2 linked regions of the Coturnix japonica genome follow. The protein of the gene in region 2 interacts with the protein of the main gene of each other region in a biochemical or structural test. Links are inferred from orthologs where the notes say so. Each region holds a gene or a part of one and is shown on either strand. Other genes may lie near its edges.

The links. The genes of interacting proteins can lie anywhere in the genome.
Region 1: the proteins of PTTG1 (region 2) and ANAPC2 form a complex in vitro, tested with the Homo sapiens proteins (2 studies listed by BioGRID, with this or other methods). The link is inferred for Coturnix japonica from reciprocal best matches to the Homo sapiens genes PTTG1 and ANAPC2.

Annotation. Positions count from the first base shown.
Region 1 is NC_029532.1:1,027,169-1,031,375, reverse strand, and holds the start of ANAPC2 (anaphase-promoting complex subunit 2), read right to left. Parts: upstream 2,806-4,207; 5' UTR 2,785-2,805; coding exon 2,704-2,784; intron 1,965-2,703; coding exon 1,342-1,964; intron 1,024-1,341; coding exon 891-1,023; intron 1-890. Other genes in the region: SSNA1 (Sjoegren syndrome nuclear autoantigen 1), read left to right, coding at 2,832-2,883, 2,963-3,162. UniProt on the Homo sapiens protein: Together with the RING-H2 protein ANAPC11, constitutes the catalytic component of the anaphase promoting complex/cyclosome (APC/C), a cell cycle-regulated E3 ubiquitin ligase that controls progression through mitosis and the G1 phase of the cell cycle.
Region 2 is NC_029528.1:9,901,549-9,905,774, forward strand, and holds PTTG1 (securin), read right to left. Parts: upstream 2,804-4,226; 5' UTR 2,684-2,803; intron 2,441-2,683; 5' UTR 2,420-2,440; coding exon 2,338-2,419; intron 2,056-2,337; coding exon 1,880-2,055; intron 1,537-1,879; coding exon 1,443-1,536; intron 983-1,442; coding exon 833-982; intron 501-832; coding exon 421-500; 3' UTR 350-420; downstream 1-349. Other genes in the region: pre-mRNA-splicing factor SLU7, read left to right, coding at 3,060-3,223, 3,369-3,522. UniProt on the Homo sapiens protein: Regulatory protein, which plays a central role in chromosome stability, in the p53/TP53 pathway, and DNA repair. Probably acts by blocking the action of key proteins.

The sequences.
Region 1 (4,207 bases), on a different chromosome or scaffold from region 2:
TATGAGGCGGCGTTATGTTTTGATAACCAGCTTTAGGTGTGGTGTGCTGCTGTTAATGCTCAGCTGTTTGACCATGGACTGGAGGAGTGCATGAGTTCTGCCCATAGAACCACAAGGCAGAAGAATGTGCTGCAGCACAGAGCACCCAAGCACCAGACCTGTACTGGGAAAGCTGAAAAGCAAAAGGGAAGTGTGATCGTTGATGCAAAGCACCTGGATGGTGAGGAGCACCTTTACCCAGCCATTCTCCCCAGGAGTTTGTCTCTGAGTGCCCCTTTACAGCAGGGCCAGAGAAGAAAGTGTTGCACAGCAACTGTAGGGAAGCCAACACCAAATCACCGCCTGTGTTTGCAGACAACACAAATGCCCAGCACGGCACACAGCGAGGAAACCAGGACAACAGCACGGAGCTGCCTGGTTCGCATGGCAACCTGACCTCACACTTTGTTCGTCAGTGCAGACCAACGTAAGGCCATGCATCAAGGAACAAAGAGCACAGAGTGAGTGTGCAGAGCACAGCCCGTGTCCCAGAGCACAGCCCGTGCCCCAGAGCAGCCGTAACCTTGAGAAGAGCTTTAAGGTCATACACAGCAAAGAGCTCGACACAAACTCAGTGCAAGGCAGCAGCGAGAGAACTGAGGAGGCGTGAGGAAGGACACTGGGCAAGACTCTCCCTGGAGTCTTCTCTACTCCAAGCTGAACAAGCCCAGTTCCCTCAACTGAGAGAGCAGACCCTCTAACATTAATCTCAAATGTAAAGTTTTAACCACTCCTCTTCTACCAGGGCTGGTGGAAGTCACAGTCCAGGACTGGGGAATTGAGGCAGAGTTGGGAATTTAGCAGCAGGAACAGGAGCAGCTCCACATCTCCATAGCCAGGGCCTCCCTTACCTCCTGGAACTCGTTCAGGAAGGAGTGCTCATAATCACCCCGGCAGCGTCGCTCCATCCTCTCCTTGATCATCCTGTGCAGGATGGTGGTCACAGCATCAGCACTCACCCTCTCCAGCAAATTGAGCTGGCGGCTGCAGACACAGAACCTCGAGTGAGTGAGCAGAAGCAAAAGCATGAAGAGAAAACTGAGCTAACAGAGCACACCTGCTGCCATGTGCTGTGCAGGTGCTCTTAATTTAAGCACTCTGATTGCAGGCAGCAATAACACATCACACAGCTGCCATCCTATCTTCAGAAACACTGTCATAGGGTTATAGAATCACAGAATCATTTGAGTTGGAAGGGACCTTAAAGGCCATTAGGTCCCACTCCCTGCAGTGCACAGGGACACCCACAGCTCCATCAGTGCTCAGAGCCCCAACACCTGCCCTTGGCTGTGCCATACGTACAGGATGTCATTGAGCTGCCGGAACCGCTCCATGGCCGTGGGGCACCAGCACTGCTCCCTCCTGCTGCCGCAGCCCGCACACACCGCGCTCTCCCCTCCGCTCTCCTCCGTGTCACTCTCCTGCTCGGCCTCACTCATGCTGCTCTCACACTCATTCATTCCCTCTTCTCCCTTCTTCCACTGCCGCATGTATATCCGGAAGGTGCGGCTGTAGAACTGCTGGATCATCTCCTGGAAGGGTTTGGTGGTGGAGAAGAACAGGATGGCTTTGAACATGGTGTACACCTTCTCCCGCAGCGTCTGAGCTCCCGTCCCCAGGAGCAGCCCGGCCTTGGTGCATCCCTCCAGGAGCTCCATGCTGCTCAGGTAGGGCTCCAGGCGGCACTTGAGGAGACAAAACGCATCCAGGAGGAGCACTGAGCACTGCTGCTCCTCCGCCGTGTTCTCATATTGACCGACGCAGTTCCAGAACTCGGGGGCGATGTGTGCCTGCAGGTCGGTCTGCAGCACCTCGAGGAACCACTCCTCCACCGCAGCGTGCAGCCCGTAACAGCGCAGCACCTCCAGGGCGGCCCGCAGCTCCGCATCCTGCAGTGGGCGAACCGGGTCACAGCGCCCCGCTGCCTGGGGAGCAGAGGGGATGAAAGGTTGAGCACGGAGCACACAGCCAGACCTTTATGCCCCCATCCCTGGGCACGGTGCGGGGCTGGCAGCCCATGGCAGGGGGGGGTGGGCTGTAAGGATTCTCCCAACCCGACCATTCTGACTCTAGGCAGACACGTACCAGGGGGGACCCTCGACGTGTGGGCTGTGCCCATCCCACAGACCCAAAGCTACTGGATTAAAATCAGTTCTGTTGCTTGTATATGTTAACTACATTACATATTTAACGAGGGCTGCTCTGAAAGTGATGCCTCCTATTTTATTGTACTGGCCCACAGTGTCAGAGGGGGATGTGGGTAGGACGGCAGCCGAGGCTGAACCTCCCACCAATACACTACTGCTATGTGACGTACGGCAGCAAGGGGCAGTCTGACATGGAAGCGAATGGAGCACACGTCTCTCGTTCATCACAGTGCCGGCCAATTTGCTCTATTTACGCTCCCATCTCTTTGTATCTATCGCAGCTCCTACAGAACACAACAGGAGGCATCACTTTCGGAGCGGACCAGCACCACCTCTATGCCCTCGGACAAGCCGCATCCCGCACACGGCAGCGATGTGCCGGGGGGGGCTCAGCCCAACCACCCGCACAACGGCCACCGTTACCCCCATTACCCGCTGCTGGGGCCGCACCGTGACCCACACCCCCCCATCCCGTCCCGTCTATCCCCCCATCCCTTTGCCCCCTCTCCCCGCTCACCAGCCCCAGCGCTGCGGGCGGTACCAGGGCGGCACTGAGTGCGCTCCACGCCGCCGACAGCCCCGCACCCGCCGCCTCCATGTCCCGCAGGAAGGGGCGGAGCGCGGAGCCGCCGTTGGGGCCGCACGATGAGCGGAACCGGGGAAACGCTGCAGGGCTACAACGCTGCGCTGCTGGAGGGTGGGTGAGCGGGGACGGGAGGGGGGCAGCGAGCAGCCGGTGCTCACACGGTGATGGTGGTGGTGGTGGGTCCGAGCAGGGCTGGCCGAGCTCCGAGCACGGCGGGATGAGCTGAGCGAGAGGATCCGGGAGGAGGAGGCGGAGAGAGAACGGCTGCAGAGCCGCATCGCGGCGCTCACAGAGCGCTTGGCCCGAAGCTCCGAGCGAACGGCGCGGAACCTGGCTGCAAAACGGCAGCTGGAAAACAGCATCGCTGAGAGCGAGGCGGCTTATGGCAAGGTACGGCCATAGGGAACCCCATACACCAGGGGGAGACAGAGCGGGGAGGAGTTGGTGCAGACATTTGAGGTCAGGAATGGAGCTCTGAGCACTGATGGAGCTCAGGGTGTCCATGAGCACTGCAGGGAGTGGGACCTGATGGCCTTTAAGGCCCCTTCCAGTTCAAACGATCCCACGGTTCTGTGCCTGCTCCATTCAGCTGAGCTCAGCTCTTCATTCAAGCCCCACTCAGCACTTGAAGAAATAAAAGTTTCTCCAGGTGGTCGCCTACATTTTCCTTTCTCACATGTGTCTTTTGAAGTGCTGTAAGCACGGCATCCTCCTCACCCAGCCGGACCTGCACTAAACATGGGAAGTGCTGGGGGTTGGGAGGCAACCAGCTGCCACAATTCACTCATTAGTAATAAATATAAGTATATAAATAAATATTTGTGGAATATTTATCATCCAGCACTAAAAGAGAAGTTGGTTCAGCTGCCATACCCTGTGTAAACCCTGATGGACCCTCTGCATCTCCCACATTAGCTGCTAATGACTGTAAAGAGTCAAGACTTCCATCAGCACACACCCCAATGCAGCACACGAGGGGCACAGCCCAGCTGCCGCACTCAGCCAACACACCTCATAGGGCTGTGATGACACACAGGGATGTCAGACCCACCAGGACACTGTTTGGAAGGGAAGGTGATGTGAGGAAGCACTCCAGGACCCAAAGGTTGGGGAGAACTTGTGTGAGAATGGAACAGCTTGGAAGCGGTGTTGTAAAGTTACACCACAAACAGCACAGGTTGGAAAAGAAACCTTCCCTGAGATACAAACCACGACCCCCTGTCCTACAAACAAAGCCGTGTTTATTGAAATTAGGGGACAGAGTCACAGCAGGTGAGAAGCCAAGGGGTGAGGAGAGGAAACATGGTCATCCTGCAGACTGAAATGAGGAGCAGAGTCCCCTCCTGTGCATTCAGGTCTCTGTGTGATGGTGCTCCTTGCCCTTCCCCGGCCCAGGGGAGACTCAGGACTCACCCTAATACACGCACCATGCTCT
Region 2 (4,226 bases):
TGTCTTTCTTGTAGTGAGGGCCCCCATATTCCAGCTTTCATTAAGCACCTCAAACCAACTTTTATCCACTGTGGTAACAGCAGGCAACTATGAATAATGCCACCTCTAAACCTCACTTGTTTTCCATGATTACTGAAAAGAACTAGAACAATAACAGTGCTAAGAAATTGAATCTATACTTGTGACTTGAAGATTCATATATTAATATCTGGATACAGTTCAGAACACTGAATTATAGATGAGCTTTTAAGCAAGACTAAGTTTTGTTTTAATAGCCTGTCAGATAGTAAAATGCCTACATCTTGGGTGTGCAGCATATTAGCTCTACTGAAAGAAAAAGCAAGGTAAGTTTTATTTCACAAGTTAAAGTAACCTTTATTTATAAACATAAAATTCAACAGAAACTTCAGAGTATGCTTTTTAGAAGTCATAGTCCATAGGCGGCATATCAATGACGTAATCCAGCGTAGAGATGAAGTCAGCAGGTGGTTCTAGCAAGTCTGAAAGTTAGAAATAGAGGAGATCAATTACTCATAAAATCCAGAAGTTTACACTCCAGCTGGCTGCTGGTGGATTAGCATAAGCCTCTTGAATGGCTATGATGAGTTAGAAATATATTACAGAAAGTTACATGGCAGTGCAGCTTCGAGACCACTACCCATGCCAGTAGAGATGACCAGTTAAATTCAGCTCAGTTACATACAGAGTGCTCTTTGAGATAAGCATCCTGCTCTTGCACTTACAAGAGCAATAGTTGTTCACTACTGCAACAAACTCACTTCCTTCCTAAATCACTAATATGCGCTGAACCTCAGGCTAATTTTCCACTTACCAGACTCCCATGGCATCTTTTCAAGCTTTATAGGTGAAGAAGCTAGGTCCACAGGTTTGTCATAAGTACTTGGGAATATCATGAGAGGAACACCACGCAGCTTGATATCACTTAGTTTATCCTCTTCAGTAACATCAAAACTCTCAAAGTCTGTTTAGGAAAGACACGCTGTAGTTTAGTAACAGCGCACAATAGCATGTGAAGCTGCAAGTTGTCCTTGATTAAGTGAAATGGGAGTAGTTCCAGGACAACTCAGTCCAACAGTTCCTTCTTATGGAGTGCTTAGTTACAGTTACTTATTAGTGTCCATGCAATTTTGTATGCTAATGCTTATCTGAAGTGTATGTAACAGTCATTATAAAGCAAGAGTTTTAAGGAATTTTTCTAATCCCTATGCTGTGTCAACTATATCAAGCAATACGTATATTTAAAACACTCAAACAAGAACAAGGTCATGCTTCCAAAATATTGAATGCCCTTATGTTTAAGAAAGGACTCTGGAGAAATGTAATACCAGCTTAGTCACCACAACAGCTCAGTGGAAGTCTTGCAGCATCAACACTTAATCAAAGTCCAATTAGGTTTTAATAATTACCCCAAGAGTTCTTACCTTGAGGATCAAAAGGAAACATGTTTTCTATTTCTGGGTAAGCTTCATCACCCCCTCCATCCCAGCTTGCTAATCCAACAGCCTTTTCAGCAACCTTAAAATGAAGAAGTCAAGTTATTTGTGCTGTCGTGTTTTCTCAGTGTAGTACCCTTTCTGTGCCTGTAAACCTGGATTTTAACACCTTTGATACAAATAAGCTGCAAAAGGGAAAATGCTTCAGTTGAACTTGTATGATGGTACACAGTGGCAACAAATCTCTGCAGTATGATATTTAGGCTCATAACAATAAACTCCCACTAAATAGAATATGAACAAGACAGTAACACAGCCAATATTTTGTCTAGAGTTACTTCATTGCCCTTGTGTGTTCCCTAAGCTGTTGTAGGTACATCATGCATTCCTCTGATTCCCATCCATTACAGAAGGGTTGTACTCACTTTCTTTGCACTGCAAGGCTGATTTTTATCTTTCTTCTGTTCCTTCTTGCTTGTAACTCCTACAGTTCTGTTCACATTTCCAAGAGCCTTTCTGACAGAGTGAGATGTGGCTGGAGTTCTGATTGCTTTTTTTAGAAGTGGAGTATTGACTTGTGTTCTTTCTGATAAGGCTTTTGCTGCAGACAGGAAAGGAAAGCAAGCTTTAGCACCTTGTCAACCCTAAAGCTTGCTTCTAATGAAGTGTGTGTGCTAGAAAGCTAATTGTTGTTCTCCACTTCTAGATCAAAAGTATAAGCTCAAAAGACAGGTGATTTTCATATTTGTAATAGCTGATAAACTTAGTTTTACTATTTATCTGCTTAACCCATTTTGTTGTTCCTGTTCAAAACAGTGATTAACAAAACCCAGGACACGCACTTTACTCCATCCCACGCTGTCTCCATGGAGCATATACTCACATGATACCGAAGGGCGTCTTAACTGGTTCTTAGTAGCACCAACTTCACCATCCTCCTTATCCACAAAGATCAGCGTCGTCATCTCTGGGCTGATGAGACCACCCTGGAAAGGCAGACAGAAGATCTTGGCAGTTCTTGCTAATAGAAACAGCAAGTTTTTGATGTATGCTAGGAATGATGATGGCAGCTTGGACTGAGCACAGGGCCAGTATTAGATATGGCGGTTGATAACACGGCACCGTGCACTGGGCGGCCAAGCAACGCCTCGCAGGCCCGCCCTTCTTTAGGGCAGAAGGATCGCTCAACAGGCCAGAAAGAAAACATGGAGGAAAAACAGCACACTTACCTGCGGGAAAAGCCGATTTGGGAGCAGCAGAGCGAGGAGAAGAGCAGGGATAGCGATAAGCACAACCAGCCTCTACACCCGCCCCGCTGCTCCCATAGGCCGCTTTCGATTAACGCTCAGCCGCCCCATTGGTGACTACCGAGTTCCGGCTCCTCGTTGCCCTGGCAGTCAAGGGGCGGGGTCTCGGTGCGGCCTAGTTGGTAAACAGGGAGTGGAGGTGCGGGACCGGGTGGGCTTTGCTGGGGTGTTGGGTGGTCGTTGTGCCCGGTATGGCTGGGTGGAGGCTCTGGGCTATGAGGGGTAACCGGGGGGAGGCTCGTGGGATCGGTTCGGTTCGGAACGCGTGCGGTTTTTTAGTGTTTTAGGAGGAAGTAAAATGGCGTCTGGGACGGCGGTAAACGCGGCTCCTTCGGGAGGGCCGGGAGATGTGAGTATGGAGGAGCCGAAGAAGATGACGAGGGAGGATTGGAGGAAAAAGAAGGAGCTGGAGGAGCAGAGGAAGCTGGGGAACGCGCCTGCTGAGGTGGATGAGGAAGGAAAGTAAGTTCTGTAACACAGCTCGGTTTGTAAAGTAGGCTTATGTGGTTACAGAGTTGTGAAGCTGAGCTTAACATGAGGTTAATTAAGCTAAATTGTGCGGTGGTTTTTCCTGTGCCGTGTATTAATTTCATATCTCCTTTTACAGAGATATCAACCCTCACATTCCTCAGTACATATCTTCGGTCCCGTGGTACATAGATCCTTCCAAAAGACCTACGCTAAAGCATCAGAGGCCTCAGCCAGAGAAGCAGAAGCAGTACAGCTCCTCAGGAGACTGGTACAAACGGGGAGTGAAAGAGGTATGGGGATGCTTTTGTCCTAAAACAAAGCTTTTAATTATTCCTATGCAATAAGATATAAGTCAGTGACACCCTGCAAGATCTGGTTATATGCTTTGGAGGGTGACAGGAACTGGAAATTTGTACACAGCAAGCAGATGAGGAGAGGCTGAAGGAGCTGGGTATGTTCAGCCTGGAGAAGAGGAGGCTCAGGGGGGACCTCATTGCTCTCCATAACTTCCTGAGTTATGTTGGGAGGTTGTAGTGAGCTGGGGGTCGGCCTCTTCTCTCGTGTCATTAGTGATAGGACCAGAGGGAATAGTTTCAAGCTACAGCAGGGGAGATTCAGGCTGGACATTTGGAAGTATTACTTCTCAGGAAGGGTGGTCAGGCACTGGAATGCACTGCCCAGGGAGGTGGTGGAATCACCGACCCTGGGAGTGTTCAAGGGAAGATGTTGTGTTGAGGGACATGGTTTAGTGGGAGCTATTAGTAATAGGTGAACGGTTGGACTGGATGATCTTTTAGGTCTTTTCCAACCTTGGTGATACTATGATTCTATGATTCATTACCCAGTGTTTGGTAGTCACCTAAATGGCCTTTTGAGTTTGGTTGGAGCATGTGTGCTTTAGTTGTGTTAGAAAAGTAAATAAGTCAGCTGGGAGAAATACACAGATGAATCTTAGCATGTGTTTGTTTAATGTTTAACGCTGTCTTCTTTTGTT